2 linked regions of the Nothobranchius furzeri genome follow. The protein of the gene in region 1 interacts with the protein of each later gene in a pairwise test. Links are inferred from orthologs where the notes say so. Each region holds a gene or a part of one and is shown in the gene's direction. Other genes may lie near its edges.

The links.
Region 2: the proteins of kinesin-associated protein 3 (region 1) and ncf2 interact in binary tests that used the Homo sapiens proteins (3 or more experiments, as listed by UniProt). The two-hybrid records come from large-scale screens. The link is inferred for Nothobranchius furzeri from reciprocal best matches to the Homo sapiens genes KIFAP3 and NCF2.

What each region holds. Positions count from the first base shown.
Region 1 is NC_091751.1:58,725,859-58,736,322, forward strand, and holds kinesin-associated protein 3, read left to right. Parts: upstream 1-3,296; 5' UTR 3,297-3,429; coding exon 3,430-3,458; intron 3,459-4,724; coding exon 4,725-4,856; intron 4,857-4,988; coding exon 4,989-5,149; intron 5,150-5,285; coding exon 5,286-5,347; intron 5,348-5,445; coding exon 5,446-5,587; intron 5,588-5,665; coding exon 5,666-5,765; intron 5,766-5,842; coding exon 5,843-5,967; intron 5,968-6,069; coding exon 6,070-6,168; intron 6,169-6,261; coding exon 6,262-6,440; intron 6,441-6,553; coding exon 6,554-6,716; intron 6,717-7,242; coding exon 7,243-7,343; intron 7,344-7,423; coding exon 7,424-7,532; intron 7,533-7,611; coding exon 7,612-7,724; intron 7,725-7,829; coding exon 7,830-7,995; intron 7,996-8,082; coding exon 8,083-8,208; intron 8,209-8,293; coding exon 8,294-8,392; intron 8,393-8,492; coding exon 8,493-8,578; intron 8,579-8,660; coding exon 8,661-8,814; intron 8,815-9,245; coding exon 9,246-9,330; intron 9,331-9,446; and 3 more. Other genes in the region: pdca (phosducin a), read left to right, coding at 521-569, 740-876, 954-1,173, 1,250-1,362, 2,015-2,203. UniProt on the Homo sapiens protein: Involved in tethering the chromosomes to the spindle pole and in chromosome movement. Binds to the tail domain of the KIF3A/KIF3B heterodimer to form a heterotrimeric KIF3 complex and may regulate the membrane binding of this complex.
Region 2 is NC_091747.1:36,772,360-36,781,467, reverse strand, and holds the start of ncf2 (neutrophil cytosol factor 2), read left to right. Parts: upstream 1-2,855; 5' UTR 2,856-2,877; coding exon 2,878-3,051; intron 3,052-3,383; coding exon 3,384-3,466; intron 3,467-3,540; coding exon 3,541-3,649; intron 3,650-3,878; coding exon 3,879-4,013; intron 4,014-5,851; coding exon 5,852-5,959; intron 5,960-6,100; coding exon 6,101-6,160; intron 6,161-6,366; coding exon 6,367-6,410; intron 6,411-6,560; coding exon 6,561-6,702; intron 6,703-6,788; coding exon 6,789-6,854; intron 6,855-7,009; coding exon 7,010-7,079; intron 7,080-9,099; coding exon 9,100-9,108. Other genes in the region: garem (GRB2-associated and regulator of MAPK protein 1), read right to left, coding at 1,508-1,628. UniProt on the Homo sapiens protein: Subunit of the phagocyte NADPH oxidase complex that mediates the transfer of electrons from cytosolic NADPH to O2 to produce the superoxide anion (O2(-)).

The sequences.
Region 1 (10,464 bases):
AACATCCAAACACAAAAGTAAAATGTGATTGATAACAAAATGATACATTAGCTTTTTCATACATGTGTGTCACAACACACACATGTACACATATAAGATGTGCTCAGCGTGTGTGCATGTCAGACTAACCATAATCTCAGACTAATCTGATAAGTAAACTTTAGCCTGATTGGCTGTAAGTGTTTCTGACAACTGAGTAATTATGCAAACATAAGGAACACTTTAGATTTAGACGTGTAACCATACAAAGTACACAATAAAACACAATTAGAGTCATCATCTTAACAAGCTCAGCATCCAGCATTAAAATTTAAGTTTGAGTGAGGCCAATTCTTTACTCAAATATGGGCCAGTTCTGCGTTTCAGAACCCTTGTGATATAATTGATAGATTATTGAATGATTTGTACTTTTAAGAGGTTTACATGTGATGAAGAATGACTATTGAATTGTCAAATTCTGTAAAGAATAGTTGATCTTGACTAGATTTCACATTTAAATAATGTCATTTCACCTGCTAGGATGTCTGCTGCTACACAGGAAGAGGAGGAGCTGCCGTTAAATCACACAGGTTGGAGATACTAAAATAACTATTTAGCTTGCTATTGTTATGTATCACAGCTCAATGTAGAAATATTAATTTATCTTGCCCACTCATTTAAAAATACATTTCAGTAAATGAAAGCATGAATATATTTTTAATGGTCAAATACCTCTAACAGATATCTCTGCTGTGTCCAGGTCCAAAGGGTGTTATTAATGACTGGAGAAGGTTCAAACTGGACAGTGTGGACCAGACAGTCCCTCAAAAAAAGAAAGAGCTGCTCAGACAGATGTCCAATCCTCGGGAGGACGACAAGGAGAGAGCTAACAGAAAGGTGAGAAAGGACGCGCAGGAAACCAGATTTAATAATCTGCTCAGATTCCTGAGAAGAGCTGTACTTCCTGTATTCAGATGGGCGCTCAGGAGTACGAACTGATCAAAGACGAGGATGAGCGCTGCCTGAAACGCTACAGAAAGCAGTGCATGCAGGAAATGCATGAGCGTCTGAGCTTCGGTCCCAGGTTTGAATGTGTCCACGAGCTGGAGAGTGGAGAGGCCTTCCTGGAAGTGATAGAGAGGGAGCATCGGATGACCCTGGTGGTGGTCCACATTTATCAGCATGGGGTCAACGGTCGGGCTCCTCTTTCCTGTGACAGTGCTACATGTCCCTGCCTCCTAACCTCATTTACTTGTCCGTCCTCTATCAGGCTGTGAGCAGATGAACTCGAGTCTGGAGTGCCTGGCAGCGGAGTACCCCACTGTTAAGTTTTGTCGTATTGATGCTGTGGCGTCAGGTGCTGCAGAGCGCTTCTCCTCTGAGGTTTGTGCATTACAAAATAAAAACAAAGAATAAAAATGAATACTTTAGTTGACCGTAATTTTGAGAATAGATTGACATTACTAAAGTGTTCTAGGTTTTAGCTGTATCGTTTTAGTAAGAATAAACATTTTCGAAGCCCAAGAGCTTTGCAGTGGACTTGATCTAAAATGAGTTTGCTTTTTAAATCCCAGAAGAAAGAGATCTGAGTTTTATGGTTTTGCTGTTGGAGAGAACTTGCCATGAACGTTTCAATATCCCTTCCTGTAGGACTGCAAACACAATAAACAAACAGACCAAGATTGGCCTTTTCTAAAGAGAAATCAACTCTGAATTTAAAATTAGATCATGACCAATTCACGTGCTTTCTGTCCATTAAATAAAATTAAAAACTTGTAATAACAGAGAAGCTGTGTCCTGCACAAAACCTGAAAATACAACAGCAGCAGGCTTTAAAAATACCTGAAATTCTAATAAAACTTAGAATTTTTATTTAGATTGGTTAGTTTGGTGTTTCTGCAGCCTAAAACTACATATTAATTATCAATATTCATTAAAAATACATTTAAAAACCGAGACATTAGAATGTATTGGTACTGTCACTGATAAATAATTGTCTTCTGAAACAATCTGATTATTGTTTCAATCATCTCAGGTTCTCCCGACCCTGCTGGTCTACAAGGCCGGGGAGTTACTGGGTAACTTCCTGGCTGTCACCAAACACCTCAATGAAGAGTTCTTTGCCACAGATGTGGAGGCGTTTCTCAATGAATACGGCCTCTTACCAGAGAAGGAGTTCACTGCGTGTGCGGATGATGAAGACGATGGAGCAGACGTGGAGTAGAAGATGAAGAAAGACAGAGAATGTCATAAAACGTGTTTCAATCAGGTCACATGCACGCAAATTAAAGAACGAGCACCCAACAGTCAACAATACTCATGCTGATGCCTTAGAATGTAGGCGTGAGGAAGTCCGTACAGAAACCCTGCTTTGCAGAAACTTGTATCATTGCACTCCAATAAAAGATATTTATTCGAACTCTTTCTGTCTGTTGAAATGGAAAACAGGAAGTTATTTCCATGTGCATTAATTCCAGATTAGGAAGATGCAACATATGGAACATTATGCTGCTGCTACCATGAAAATATAATTCCTCTAACTAAAAGGCTTGTGTAATGGTTTGCATTACGTGATGTGAATATGTGGTTTAAGCTAAATTAAAGTCATGAGACTCATGTGGAAATTGACCTTTCTGCTCTCAGAGTGATTATAAAGGCACAGAGGAACCAGGAGGACTTTACTGTCGAGAGGGAAAAGATAACTGATGTCTTTTGGGAACGTGGAAATTATTTATGTGGAAAAATAATAAATTCTGCTGTGCACTACCAAGTATTACATCCTCTCAGTATAGAGGTGGTTAAATGAAAAAAGTAATAGTAATTTAGGAAGCACTGATAATATTTATACATTAAATCCGAGTGGCTCTGAAGTGAGAACAAAGCGTTCTAAATGTTCTGGTTTATTTAGCATTTTTATCAGCATCCGTGTTTTGCCATCTCAAAACAAGTCAAATATAGTCCAGGTTTTAGACAAAACAAATTTTAAGCTCCTCTCAGAGTGACAGCTGGAAGCTTAATGTGCATCCCAGTTCATAGAGGCATTAAAGGAATAAAAAATCTGACCCCAAAACAATATGCACAAAATAGCAACATAGGATAAGGAGTAAATATTAGATTAAACCTTTTATCCCCAAAAAGACACACACAAAATATGAAAGTGTAAAAAGTAAAGTTATTATATATTTCTAGCCAAATTTTTCTTATTTTTTTTTAAATTAATAAATACTTAATTACATCATTAGAGTTGGAATCATATATTTCTATAACCAGTCCACTAGGGGGCAGTAGTGTTCTCTAAAGGCTGCCTGTTAAGTAGAAAAAGAATACCTTGAGGTTCAGCGGTCTTTAGAGGATAAATAAAAGACTCGAATGGTTGTTATTTGTCCAGGAGATCCTTCAGGTGATCTTAAATTGTTAAATTAAAAATTTGAAGCCATAAATCGGAAGAAAATGCAGGATGACGCGCGGTACCTCAAACGGTGAGTTGAAAGGTGCGGCTAGAACCGTACTGGCCGTTGAAATTAGCCATGTTGATATAATTTTAGGGATGACAAGTAATAATCTCTGGGTGAGACGTAAGAGTGTTTTAATTATTGTTTTAATTTGAATTCGTCCTAGTTTTAGTGTGCAGCTGTATGCTTGGAGGTTGAACCCGATGTCTTGTTTAAAATTTAGGGGAATTTAAGGTTCCGACGCTGGACTGAAGATTGGACCATTCCTGTTTATTTCGAATATAGGCAATTATTAACTATCCCGAGCCACGAAATCATTCGGCATAAACGAATTTCACACAGCTGTCACCTATAAGATACACTATTCCTGAAAAGCATTTCTACAATCACCGCCCCCTGCTTCGTTAGCGTTTAGCTCATCAGAACGAGAGACCAACAACAGGATTTTAGTATCATGTGCTTTTTCTTGCATCTGTTTCTGGAAGAAACGTTTCAGTCGCAATCCTCCTGTTAACTGTAATAATCAGTGGAACTGCTCCAGAGAGGAAGGAATGCTGGGAAATCTGGGCTCCTGCTAACCCTGAAGATTCTGTTAAACATAAAAACAATGTAGCCGGATAATAAATCATACTAACTAGGTTTATCACGGGACATTTGATTCAGTGTTGTAGCTGACGAGGTTTAGCTTTTTTTTTAAATAAAAGCAGTCTTTGTTATGTTTGTGCATGGGCGTGTCCTACTGCTTTTGATCCAGGAACACATATAATAAAAATAGCTGTCACTGCCAAGAGCTTATTACTGCATTCAACATTAAAGAGCAAGTCACCCCCAAATCAACTTTTTCTTGCTGATAAACTATATAAATGTGTAACTAACTGTGCTGCAGACACGTGTCGTCAATAATTTGATACTTCAGTGCATCTTAGTTAAAATTTAAATATTCTGCCTAAAACTGTCAGTGTTGCGCTGTTGTCAGGTAAAAACTCTGCACTGCATTTGAATTTAAATCTGCCACCGCTATTGGCTAAGAGGTATGCTATGATGTAAACTGGTCTATTATGATGTCACAATGCCATTGTGAGCCTGTGTGTGTGTATTTGTTAGTGGCTCCGCCCTCTCGGTCTGCTAGGCAACAGCATTTGTTGCATTTTTCAAACATGAAGAGGGAGTGAAGTAAGTTTCTTGTAGGGGGTGACTTGCTCTTTAAATTGCATTATGGAAATAATTGTATTTAACTCAGATTTACTTTGGAAACTAAAACCACAGGCGTAAACTGTTTATTATCATTCATAGAAAAGTGACTGCAGGCAGTTTGGATGTCCATCCCACTGAGAAAGCCCTTGTGGTCCAGTATGAGGTGGAGGCATCCATCCTGGGGGAGAATGGAGGTCCGATGCTGGGTGAACGCAAGGAGGGACAAAAAATGTGAGTAAGCTCCTAATTTATCGTTGACAGCATCTGCCCCTGTTCTTTATCTTATTAGAAATAACCAGTTAATGGCAGTTTTTGCTGGTTTATGTAACATGTTATGTGTCATCCTTCTCCTTTCCCCTTCAGAATCCGCGTGAAAAGCCTCTCTCCTACTACAGATGTGGCCGCTTTGGCCAGGAAAGTGGTAGAGGAGTGTAAACTCATCCCCGCCTCCCGCTTGCCACAGGTGGAGCAGCTGCTTTATTACCTACAGAACAGGAAATCCTCCCCAGTGGAGGCCAAAGGGGGTACGTTTAGAAGCTTTTACCTGTTAGCTCTGATTTATTGTTCAAACACACCAATAAAGTATGAGAGGGACTAACTGCACAGTGACATTAAGAAGCAGGATGTAAAACATTCACTGCTTTTCTTGTTTGCCTTTAGTGGAAAAGAAAGAGAAGAAAACAGTGAAGCCTAAAGATCTGACACCATTTGAGGGAACGGAGGTAATGATGTTAAGTACTCGTTTCATTCCTCATTCGTTGTGTTAGGTGTAACAGTGTGTGTTTCTTTCTTTGTTGTTTTATTTATTTTTCGTGTGTAGTTGAACGAGGAAGCTAGCATAACAAAGATGGATGAGTATGTTGAGCTGCTTTATGAAGGCCTCCCAGAGAAGATCCGAGGCTCTGGTCTCATTTTGCAGCTCGCCCGTAACCCAGATAACCTGGAGGAGCTGCTTTACAACGGTACATGTTCCTTCCAACATGCTTACGCAGCCATCCTCTAGTTGTTTAGCGTGAATTTCTCCCTGTTTGTGTCTACAGAAGCAGCTTTAGGTGCGCTGGCCCGGGTTCTGAGAGAGGACTGGAAACAGAGCGTAGAGCTTGCTACTATTATCATTTACATCTTCTTCTGCTTTTCAAGGTAACCCTGATGCACAGCTGGCGTGATGGTCCTTCAGTACTTCTAAATGATTCATCCTTTCACATCCCTTCCTCCAGTTTCTCCCAGTTTCACGCTGCAGTGAGTCACTATAAAATCGGAGCGCTTTGTATGAGTGTGGTGGAACATGAACTGAAGAGGCATGACATGTGGCGTGAGGAGCTACGCAAGAAAAACAAAGCTTATATCCATTTTCTGCTATCATTTTGTCCATTTAATTTAAGATGATCGATTTTTTTGAGGTCTTCTGTATTGTTTCTGTTGCCCTTGACTATCTTTTGTGCACGTGAGTCTGCGCCAGAAAATGGCTCCTTAAGACGAGACCAGGACAAAACGCTGAGAAAATACCAAGCCCTTCTGGCTAAGCAGGAGCAGCTGCTCAGAGGTGAAACAGGATTTTTCCTTTTAAATTTTCATGGGATTAAAACCTCTTATAAATAGAATTTATTTGGTTATGTTCATTTTTTTTTCCTTTTAGTTTCTCTCTACCTGCTGTTGAACCTCGCTGAGGACACCAGGACAGAGCTGAAGATGAGGAACAAAAACATTGTTGGACTGCTGGTCAAAGTTCTTGACCGTGATGATGAGGAGCTGCTGGTTCTGGTGGTTTCCTTCCTCAAAAAGCTGTCGATCTTCCTGGAGAATAAGAACGACATGGTGAGCAGGAGGGCTTAGTTGTTCTACACTAACTACTTTTGCCTGTTTTAACAAGAAGTCAGCAAGCTTTGTCATTAGTCCAGCTCTGATGTGACCGTGTGTGTGGCACGCAGGCTGAGCTGGACACCGTGGAGCGACTGGCTCGTCTGATTCCCTGTGAACACGATGATTTGTTGAATCTGACTCTACGTCTGCTGCTCAACCTCTCGTTTGACTCCGGACTTCGAGCCAAGATGGTGGAAGTCGGGCTGGTGCCCAAACTGACAGCGTTGTTGGGTAACGTTAAACACAGATTCTTCACAGCTTCCTGAGTAAATGACGGAAATGAGACAGAAGTCAAACCCACTGTCTGACAGGAACTACGTTGTAGACCTTATAAGTATTCACACCCCATCCCGTTCACTCAGATCTTCTTCTTCCATCCATCTTGCGGTTCCTTCTGCCCGTCTCGCTACCATGAGTTCCAGAGACGGGGAGCAGAGCTTTCAGCCGCTCTGCTCCCCGTCTCTGGAACTCACTTCCCCCAGACATCAGGAACATCGACAGTTTTACCCTTTTCCAATCAAAACTCAAAACACACATGTTTAAATCTGCCTACAACCTTGAACTGTTTCTCTCTTTGTTTTTTCTTGTTTGGGTTTTATTATTGTTTTATTGTATTTTATCATGTGTTTTCTGTAAAGTGACCTTGGGTGTCCTGAAAGGCGCTTTTAAATAAAATGTATTATTATTATTATTATTATTATCATTATTATTATTGTAGTAAGTGTATGAATATTCGAACACGTTTGTTACGATGCAGGTGATGAGAATAACCGACAGGTAGCCATGCGCCTCCTGTACCACATCAGCATGGACGACCGCTTCAGAGGCATGTTCGTTTACACCGACTGCATCCCTCAGGTACGCCACGATCCACTTCCATTCATAGTGACTGAGCGTTCCAGAGGATGAGCCAAATCTGTGTTTGTGTCTGGAACCAGCTCATGCAAATGCTCTACGACCACGGCGAGGAGGAAATTGATGTGGAACTCATCTCCATCTGCATCAACCTGTCTGCTAACAAGAAGAACGCACAGCTCATGTGTGAAGGTATTTGGTTTTTTGATGTTTCAGGGCTAAATCTGTATTTGAACTGAACAGCTTTTGCTTGGTGCCTTTCCGGTTTTAGGAAATGGACTGAAGATGCTCATGAAGCGAGCTCTGAAGACTAAAGACTGCCTTCTGATGAAGATGATCAGAAACATCTCACAGCATGATGGTCCAACCAAGCCGCTGTTTATAGTACGTTGTGAGACACACAGTAATTTGTCATTTTGACAAACTAAAGCATCACTCGTGCTTCACAGAAGGATTGTTTTGTCTGATGATCTGAGTAATCTTCACTAGGACTATGTGGGAGATCTGGCTGCAGAGATCCGTGCTGTAGAAGGGGAGGTGTGGATCCTGGAGTGTCTGGGAACGTTGGCCAACCTCACCATTCCTGACCTGGACTGGGAGCTGCTGCTGAAAGAATATAACCTGGTGCCTTTCCTCAAAGACAATCTCAAACCAGGTATCAGTTAAATCATTCAGAAGACAGAATTAGAAGAAATTACCCGTTGTCTCAGTTTGCCAGAAAGCCTCTCTGTTCATATTTCAGACTCGGCAGAGGATGACCTCATACTGGAGGTGGTCATAATGATTGGAACAGTTTCCATGGATGACGCCTGCGCTGTCATGTTGGCTAAATCTGGCATCATTCCTGCCCTTATTGAACTACTGAATGGTAAAAATAAAAAAGAAAACCAGATTAGGACATTTTCCCTGGATTATTATCAACTCTCACTCCACATGTCCTGTCCTTTATGCAGCGCGCCAAGAAGATGACGAGTTTGTGTGTCAGATCGTCTACGTCTTTTATCAGATGGTGTTTCACCAAGCCACACGGGACGTCATCATCAAAGACACGCGTATCCTTCCCAGGGGCGCTCTCTGCAGCAGTCGCCTCTCACTGGGTTTTAATGCGAGCTAAAGTTTTAGGTTGCTAGTTTTCTTTAAGTGTTTCCTCAGAGGCTCCCGCTTACCTGATAGACCTGATGCACGACAAGAACACCGAGATCAGAAAAGTGTGCGACAACACGCTCGACATAATCGCTGTAAGTGAACCTGCACATCGTATCCTCACCCTGTTCCACCTTTACTCGCAGATGTTTTATATATATATATGTATATATACAGGAGTACGACGAGGAGTGGGGGAGGAAAATCCAGTCGGAGAAATTTCGTTTCCACAACAACCAGTGGTTGGACATGGTCGAGAGTCGCCAAGTGGACGAGTCTGAGCCGTATCTGTACGATAACGACGAGAGGACTGATCTGTTCTACAGCGCAGGTAGAAACCAGATGAGCGCTGCAGCAGATTCTTCTATTTGTGCAAATTTCACACTAAAAGCATTTTTTTAGACCTTGTCTATTTCTGCCACTCAGACCAGATGTTAGCCTTGTGGCCTCCTGTGGCTCCAACATTCATGTCCACCTTTTGCATCCAGTGATGTAATCAGGTCAAACTTTAAGTTTGTGGTTTCTTCATGTTTCTGGGTCACCTGCCCACACAATCAGGCTTCTTATCTGATCTCACAAGGTATACAGAATAACCGGTTATGAGAATGTCACATAATTAGACAAACGCTACTAAATTCTCACAGAAAACGTCTCGCTACTTTTAAAACAATTGCCAAGCTTTTGGTGTCTGTGCTGATTTAGCAGCTGCTATCACGCTGCAGTGGTTGTACAGCTCATTCAAATTTCTAAATGCTTTTCTAGATGGAATAACCCCAGGAGATGGTTCAGTCAGCCCAGATTTCTTCGGTGATCTGCAGTCTCAGAATGGAGACTCACATCTCACAGGGTGAGTCGACCTCAGACAGAGCCAGATCAGAAAATGAACAAGATCACTAACCTTCTAGCTGAAGTGGAAGTTTTCTTATGTGTAGTAATATTAATATCAATGTCTTTGTGGATCAGAGATGTGGGCGACGTCTTCGACCAGACCAGCTCATCACCTGGACGACCAGTTACTGCTTACGGCTTCAGACCTGATGAGCAGCTGTTCTCTCAGTACTCATAAGAGCACACACACACTTTTGGTCCTGCTGATGTACCGCATCCCGTCTTTCCAGCTTCCTGCATGTCCAGTTCCATCACAGCTCCAGTTCTCCTTGCCTTTACTCGGACTGTGAGCAGACACCCTAAAATACATGTTTTGGATTGCAGTAAAAGGAAAGCTGCAGGCTACATCCACTTTCATATTCACTCAGCTTTTTCATTCATTCATTCCTCATTATCTGCAACAGATGAGTATTTGAGTCTGACTTTACCTGACTGTTGTGGCCAGTAATATTCTGAATATGAACAGAAAGTTTTGATTGTTTTTGTCGTCCTATTTTGCACATTTGTTCTCTTTTAATATTTATTGATACTTCAGATCATTCAGAACGAGAAAATAAAAAGAAACACTAAATTAGTGGTCTTAAGGGGAACTCCTATAATTATAAGAAAACTAAAACAAGTGTTGACATAGATAACATTATAATAGAGCTGTTTTAGTTTAATTGGCTATTTAGTGTTTATTTGGTGATGGTGGGAGGGGCAAATGTCTCGGTTTAGTTGACTTGGAGCTGGAAATGACGTCTTACAGTTGTCTTAACCACACAAATCTTGGCCAGCGTGAGTCAGAAATGTAGCTGACAAGTTTCAGCCATCGGGGTTGTTTGAGGTCTTAAAGCACACTGCTGGTCAGGTTTTGTTTGCATGAACAAATTATCCTATTTCATGCTTTTCTTTCAAAGTTGAACTCTTCTGCAACGACTCACTCAGACACAGCTGCAAGTAGAGGTTCAGTAGTCTCATCAAAGTTCCTTTTAAGTTAAATTTGGCTTTATCGGGTGTGCAGGAAGAAATTTAAGACTGTAAAGTTTCACTGATGAGAAAGGAGCCTTGCTGACCCCTGCAGGAGGTCACCTGCACCTCTTTCAGTTTCACC
Region 2 (9,108 bases), on another chromosome or scaffold:
TTTTTCTGAACATAGGCTACCTGGTTCTTTCTTTTATGAGTGTGAGTAGGAAATGAAATGAATCGCTGCTGCATTTGGATGCACTCAAGGAGGGAGCACTTGCTCACAGCCAGAGGTTGCATCATCCATTCATCCTTCAATACCGTTAAATTTTAATTCATTTAAAATTAATATTTAGTCCAAACAAGCTGAGCAGAGTGCCCCTGTAACATATAAAACATGCAATTAAACAATTCACTTAAATTAGGAACATTTTACCTGCATTGGCCTGTACGTAAACATTAACAGGTCACCTCCAGCTTGTGCGTAATCAAATGTCTCTAGGGAGTTTGCTGAAGAGGTTATGAGGTTCTGGGCTTTTGTTTCAGACAGACTTGTGGATGTTTAAATGTTGTTATGGATGAATCTGCGGTCCGCTGACACGCTGGATTCAAGGCAATTGCTGGATAACAAGCACTATTTAAGCCAAAGTTTAAAAATCTAATTATTTAATGACACATAAACAGAAGTATACCAGACTCTCGGAAAGATAGAAGGGTTTCCACTCAACACTGCGCTATTGTGCACGATGTCGAGTGCGCCAGACGCTCTCTGAGCTCCCTTCAGCGCACTACTTGGGCACACTGTCAGCAGCAAGATAAGGAGAAAGTGTGAGATTATGCTCAGATGCACTGATAGAAATCTTGATTACCTCTGCGATGTTCTCTGTGCATAACATGTAAAATATCTGCGCACCTGCAGGAGTCAGTAACAAATTTACATGGCTGCTTATACTGAGCCAGGATCCTCTGGAGTTTATTCCTGTTAAAATGGAGTTTCCCTCTCCACTGTCGCTAAATGCTTGCTTAGTATGAGGATTGCTGTAAAGACTCTGACACTAGTCAGTGACTCGATGCAACCTGCTGGGTTCCTTATATAGGAAACTTTTTACTTATTGGCTGTGATTAGAATGACATTTGATAAAATAAAATAAAAAGATTTTCGGTTATCTTACAGATTTCTGAACATTATAATACAGCAACAAGGCAGTTTGGTAGAGTTTAAAATAAAGATATCTATTTAATAGACAACTAAATGTGACTGTGGCTGATACATCTGTTTAATTATTCATTTTGACAGTTTCAATGCTTCAGATAGTCTAGAGTGACATAAATGCAGTCTTGAGAAGCGGATCAGTGCTGACCATAAATCAAGATGTTTTGTTGTGATGTGAGGATGCATGAAAGCATTCAATAATAAAAAGTTGCTGTGGTACAATAATGTAGTCTGTCAAGCAGATGCAGCACTTTGGCTACAAAATGCTTGAGAATGTAAGCATCATTAAGACATACATATATATATATATATATATATATATATATATATATATATATATATATATATATATATATATATATATATATATATATATATATATATATATATATATATAAACACCAACTTAACAGTTTGTTGATGTTTAGCGCAAAGATGACTGCTTTAAATGCATAATAACAAAGTTACTAACCGCTGTCCAGTTTGACGATTTGGGGCATTTTATATGCACTGACAAGCTGATCCAAAGGTAAAGACGTTGAGCTCCAAGTAACATCTTTCAAATTATTGTACAACATTGTTCCAAGGTCCATCTTGTTAGCTCACATTAGCCAACTCTGGAGCTAGCTGTGTGTAAATACGGACACAAAAGGGTGCTCCGAGCTACCAACACAAATAATATAGCAACTTAATCTAAACAGTCATACCAAACATGACTTATTTCTTGTTAATCCTTACATAGCTCCAATTTTCATTTGTTCTACGCATCATAAAGGTTCGTACTCCGAAAGTGTAGTAGAGCCATGTTTGTTTAGCTAGCGATGAGCTAACGGATAAACGTTTTTACTCTATCAAAATAAGAGCATTTTATACATTCAAGTAAAGAAGATACGTTATTATTGAAAGGCGAAATCGTTGAATTCCTTGAGAATATATAAATACACATTTATAATATGATGTTAGTGTTGTAAGAAAACGCACCAGTATTTTGTGATTATAGTCATGTCACAAGAAATTTATTTTGAAAGGAAAAACCCGGAAGTTGTTTTTGTGCATTTGGCACAAAAACACATCATATATTTACTAAATAAATATTGCAGCTCAATAAATTTAGAATTATTAAAGAAGAACAAACAATAATCTGAACATTACTTATTTCAGTAAAAATGTCTGAATGTCATCAAAGTTAAGGTCGTTACAACACTGGAAATCAATTTGAGTTTTGGATTTAACATTGTCAAAGTGCCATGTTTGTTTGTAAATTTACAAAATAAAGTTAAAAAATAATTATTTAAAAAATACTAGAAATCAATTAGATGTGAAACATTTTTCATTATGCATCTCAAGCTTTTCTGCTTATAAAATGCCAACGTTAGTTTAGAGCTAAACACACACACACACACACACACACACACACACACACACACACACACACACACACACACACACACACATTTAAACCCACAATTTATTCAAAGATAGAAAATCTCTAGAATCTAAATCATAAAGCTTTTGTTAACTGTAGGCTAATATTGATGGAACTCAAATAGAGCATTTGACATACCAGATAAAAAATAAACACAAGACCATCTGAAAAAGTAGATATAAAAATATACATATTTCCTGGACACAATGTGCAAATTGTTTGGTACATCAGCAGTAAGTTAGAGTGCAATTATTGCACTGAACGGGAGAAAATAATTTAAATGTGGCTTTAGCACTTAGAGCTGATTGTGATGCATTTGTAAATCGTAACAGCTGTCATCACACTTCCCAGTTTCACTGGTACAAATAAGAAGAACTTCCTCAATGTAGAATCAGTGTGCTGGTAAGCCAACAAACATGTCTTATGTGGACACTCTGCGGCAGTGGGACAAAGCTGTAACTTGTGCCGACAGACAGGAATGGTCAGAAGCCCTCTGCATTTTCTTATCCATTCAAGAACCAAATTCCAAAATTTACTTTGACATTGGTTGCCTTCATCTTCTGAACCAAGACTTGGATGATGCTGAAAAGGTACGTTAGATCTACTTTATTTTAAATCAAATCTGCAAGTCTGTGCACGTAAGAAAGTAAAATCATCTGGATTTATTTGGCAAGGCTGAGATGAAACGTGTCAGATATAAGGAGCCCTCCGGTTGGCTCACGGGTCCCCTGAACAGATCAAACAGGATCAGAAAATATTCAATTTCAATTTTCTTGGCAGCTGAGGACCCATGGTCCGGAAGGACGTGACTTAGGCTCCCTATAGAGGTTTCTGAAAGTGCAAGTCACAGTGAAAGAAGAAGTGGTGTCACCGGCTTTCTGCTCCTTTAGAGGAAGTTATTTTCTTACCTGTTATTTCTCAGGCGTTTGACTGCAGCATTCGCAAGGATGAGCATTTGGCAGTTGCCTTCTTTCAGAGGGGAATGACATTTTACAAAAAGAAAAGGTAAATTACATCAAATGTTTTATAAAACTTGCCTTATGTGTAATAATTATTACCTTTACTTGTCTTGGTCACAGGTATGAGGAGAGTTCAGCTGATTTCCAGAGAGCCTTTAAAGCTCTGAGGGGTAACCAGCTGATCGATTACAAAGCACTAGGTCTCAGATACATCCTATATGCCTGTGAGGTGAGCTTTAGCTCTACTGTCCGTCAGAAATCTGAGGTTAAAATAAAGCTGGCTGATGATGGTAATTCCTCATTTTCAATGTGATTTATATATTCTTGCAAAGAGGAAACCGTTGAAGCCTCAGCTCTTCCTAATTCAGTTTTCAATATGAGGGCTTCAAATAAACCTGATAAGACGGTGTGACTGAAAAGCTCCTAACTCAGTGTCACGTCGACACCTCCTGCTTCAGGTTCTCCACAATCTTGCCCTGGCTGAAGCTAAGCTGGGTAGCTGGGAAAAGGCCCAGGAAAACCTGGTCAAGGCACTGGACTACAAGACAGATGCCAAGCTCAGCCTCATCGACAGGGCTCTGCAGTCAACCCTGGTCAGTTACGATCATCCTCTCATAAAATACGGTTACACTTCATTAATATAATTCAATTACACACATCCACATATGTTTAGAAATCAACATTTTATCAGCATAGGTGTTGGCTATTTGGGTTTTGGAAGGAAGAAGATACAGTGGGGCAAAAAAGTATTTAGTCAGCCACCGATTGTGCAAGTTCTCCCACTTAAAATGATGACAGAGGTCAGTAATTTTCATCATAGGTACACTTCACCTGTGAGAGACAGAATGTGAAAAAAAATCCATGAATTCTCATGGCAGGATTTTAAAATAATTTATTTGTAAATCAGGGTGGAAAATAAATATTTGGTCAATAACAAAAATTCAACTCAATACTTTGTAACATAACCTTTGTTGGCAATAACAGAGGTCAAACGATTACTATAGGTCTTTACCAGGTTTGCACACACAGTAGCTGGTATTTTGGCCCATTCCTCCATGCAGATCTTCTCGAGAGCAGTGATGTTTTGGGGCTGTCGCCGAGCAACACGGACTTTCAACTCCCTCCACAGATTTTCTATGGGGTTGAGGTCTGGAGACTGGCTAGGCCACTCCAGGACTTTCAAATGCTTCTTACGGAGCCACTCCTTTGTTGCCCGGGCGGTGTGTTTGGGATCATTGTCGTGTTGGAAGACCCAGCCACGTTTCATCTTCAAAGCTCTCACTGATGGAAGGAGGTTTTGTCTCAGAATCTCACGATACATGGCCCCATTCATTCTGTCCTTAACACGGATCAGTCGTCCTGTCCCCTTAGCAGAAAAACAGCCCCAAAGCATGATGTTCCCACCCCCATGCTTCACAGTAGGAATGGTGTTCTTGGGATGCAACTCAGTATTCTTCTTCCTCCAAACACGGCGAGTTGAGTTTATACCAAAAAGTTCTACTTTGGTTTCATCTGACCACATGACATTCTCCCAATCCTCTGCTGTATCATCCATGTGCTCTCTGGTAAACTTCAGACGTGCCTGGACATGCAATGGCTTCAGCAGCGGAACACGTCTGGCACTGCAGGATTTGATTCCCTGCCGTTGTAGTGTGTTACTGATGGTGACCTTTGTTACTGTGGTCCCAGCTCTCTGCAGGTCATTCACCAGGTCCCCCCCCCCCCCCCCCCCCCCGTGTGGTTCTGGGATTCTTGCTCACCGTTCTCATGATCATTTTGACCCCACGGGATGAGATCTTGCGTGGAGCCCCAGATCGAGGGAGATTATCAGTGGTCTTGTATGTCTTCCGTTTTCTGATAATTGCTCCCACAGTTGATTTTTTCACACCAAGCTGCTTGCCTATTGTAGATTCACTCTTCCCAGTCTGGTGCAGGTCTACGATTCTTTTCCTTGTGTCCTTCGAAAGCTCTTTGGTATTGGCCATAGTGGAGTTTGGAGTCTGACTATTTGAGGCTGTGGACAGGTGTCTTTTATACAGATAATGAGTTCAAACAGGTGCCATTAATACAGGTAACGAGTGGAGGACAGAAAAGCTTCTTAAAGAAGACGTTACAGGTCTGTGAGAGCCAGAGATTTTCCTTGTTTGAAGCGACCAAATGCTTATTTTCCACCCTGATTTACAAATAAATTCTTTAAAAATCCTGCCATGTGAATTCATAGATTTTTTTTTCACATTCTGTCTCTCACAGTTGAAGTGTACCTATGATGAAAATTACTGACCTCTGTCATCATTTTAAGTGGGAGAACTTGCACAATCGGTGGCTGACTAAATACTTTTTTGCCCCACTGTAAGTGAATCTTCTAAAATCCCAAAATCTTTCAAATTAATTTAAGTAATACTTTTCAATATGTGTTTTTTTTTTCTGACAGAAACAAAAGCTTTTCAAACCGGTGGAATTCCCTTTGAAAATGCTGTTTAGACCAAACAAGCACTATGTGGCTGAGCTGGAGAAAAAGGACTACCTGGGCAAAGCTAAGGTATGCATATAACAACCAGACCAACAATCACAGATTTTAACATAATCCATTTTAATTGTGGATTATTCAGATTTACAGATATATATTATTGATGAAGAACGGCATAAAACTCCATTTAAAATGTATTTTTCGAAACATTAGGTTGTTTCCTCTGTGGTTCCACAAGATGAGTTCTCTGGGTTTGCCCCGCTACAACCGCAGGTGAGGAATCAAATCAAACTGAGACCAATAAAGTCCTCAGAAGATAAATAAATGTTTCATTAGCCTCTAATATACCAGGGCAGATCAAATCCACTCATGACGAGGGGAAGTCTGAGCAGCGTCATATGTACATTAGTTCTTTACGATGTGAAATATAAAGCCTTTTTGCAATGGTGGTTAAAAGTGAAAGTCCTGTATTTTGTTAGGTCGAAGATGGTCCAACTTCTCCAAAAGAACCAGAAGTTTTGAGGTCAGTTTGAACATGTATTAGATTTTCTTTTGCTGTGATCTGAAAGTGAACATGTCCCAAATAGATAAACCAAACAGCAGATAAAATATAATCATCATATTCTAATTGTTCTGTTTCTCACGAGGACATGTGGACATCTCGTCTCCACAGAGCTCTACAAGGAGAACCACACACCGTGCTGTTTGAGTTTGACCCTGAGACCAGTGATGAGTTGGCTGTTGTGCCAGGAAACATTGTGTTTGTGCTGCAGAAGGGTGACGACAACTGGGCCTACGTGGTCTTCAATGAAAGAGTAGGACTAAAATCAGGGATGGGCTGAATTAGTAATTTATGTTTTTAAGTTCTATTGATTATTATCCAGTATGATGTCGATTACAGAGAGGACTTGTTCCTTACAATTACCTAGAGCGTTTGGAAATTTCCTTGGCTTCAAATCAACACAAGGTAGGGCTGCTGTATCAGTGACTTCCTGTTCGGCATCATTTTCTCTGGACATAGTCCAGAAAAACTCGTTGTTCTTTAAAATTTACTTAGGCTACGTTGAACAGTATGGAAACTTGACTTCTTTAATGTTTTTTTTTTCCTTTTCCCATATTTTGATTGGGAACAATTATCAGGGTTTAGCCAGACCTCTGAGTCAAGAACCACCAACCAGACCTGAGAGGAAAGGTAGATCTCACAACTACACATTTGTATTAATGCTGCCATTAATTTGTGTAGCCCAAGCTGAAACAGTCCCCTAACCATACACGACCCCTGGTTTGGGTATACACTATAAAACCTGCTTTTATTCCCATATTTTTCACAAGACTGATCCATTTATCACAAGGTGATAAGAAGTGAAATATTTTTGTTGGGTAATAAAATGTGATTTACTTTTATCTCATGCAATACATACAGTGGGTATGGAAAGTATTCAGACCCTCATCATTTTTTCACTGTTATATTGCAGCCATTTGCTTTTTTTCCCCTCATTAATGTACACATGGCATCCCATATTGACAGAAAAACACAGAATTTTAGAAATGTATGTATTGAAAAAGAAAACCTGAAATATCTCATGGTCTTTAGTATTCAGACCCTTTGCTGTGAGGTGCTTTCCATTTCTTCTGATCATACTTGTGATGGTCCAACACCTTCATTGGAGTCCAGCTGGGTTTGATTATGCTAACTGGACTTGATTAAGAAAGACACACATCTGTCTATATAAAACCTTACAGCTCATGATGCATGTCAGAGCAAATGAGAATCGTGAGATCAAAGGAACTGCCTGAAGAGCTCAGAGACAGAATTGTGGCGAGGCACAGATCTGGCCATGGTTACCAAAACATCTCTGCTGCTCTTAAGGTTCCTAAGAGTACAGTGGCCTCCATAATCATTAAATGGAAGATGTTTGCTTCCTAAAGCAGGCTGTAGAAATTGTCACTGCAGCCCTCCACCAGTCAGGGCTTTACGGCAGAGGGGACCGTCGGAAGCCTCGCTTCAGTGCAAGACTCGTAAAAATCCTCATTGAGTTTGCTAAAAGACACCTGAAGGACCCCGAGATGGTGAGAAATAAGATTATCTGGTCTTAGACCAAGATAGAACTTTATGGCCATAATTCTAAGTGGTATGTTTGGAGAAAACCTGGCACTGCTCATCACTTGTCCAATACAGTCCCCACAGTGAAGCATGGCGGTGGCAGCATCATTTTGTGGGGGTGTTTTTCAGCTGCAGGGACAGGACGACTGGTTGCAATAGAGGAAACGATGAATGCGGCCAAGTACAGGTATATCCTGGACCAGAACCTTCTCCAGAGTGCTCAGGACCTCAGACTGGGCTGAAGGTTTACCTTCCAACATGACAGTGACCCTAAACACACAGCTAAAATAACGAAGGGGTGGCTTCACAGCAACTAAAAGGCCCAGCCAGAACCCTGACTTAAACCCAACTGAGCCTCTCTGGAGACCTAAAAATGGCACACTGTTCACCATCCAACCTGACAGAACTGGCGAGGATCTGCAGGAGGAATGACAGGATCCCCAAATCTAGATGTAAGACACTTGTTGCATCTTTACCAAGAAGACTCATAGCTGTACTAGCTCAAAAGGTACTTCTACTAAATACCGAGCAAAGGGTCTGAGTACTCAGGACCATGTGATGTATCAGTTTGTCTTTTTTAATAAACCTGCAGAAATCTCTAAAATTCTGAGTTATTCTCTCAATATGGGGTGCTCTGTGTACATTAATGAAGGGATAAAGAATTTAATTGATTTTACCAAATGTTTGCAATATAAAAAGAGATGCGGCAGGGTGAGTGTCCTGTCACAGGGTCCCGATTGATCATGTGCCCTGGCTACTTCGCCAAAGGGATATTTGGCTGACTGGTTAGCGGGCATGACTCGCACCCGGGAGTCTAGGGATCGCATCCCGCCCGGGCCCTCGTTTCTCCACCTTGCCACACTGTGAAACATTTATGGGGGTCTGAATACTTTAATGTACATCGTCCGCAAGAAAACAGGAGAAAAAAATCCAGTGGCACAAAAACTGAAGGAATGTACTAATCCTGTTAGATAAAGGTCTATGAAAGCTGGTAGTATGTTTTATACGTTTGGCATTAAAGGGTTATCAAGAACCCTTCACCTCATCAAAACCAGGCTTTGCCCCTCCAGTCCCGATGAGGTAATTAGACCTCCTTTCTCCTTTTAAGGTCTCACTC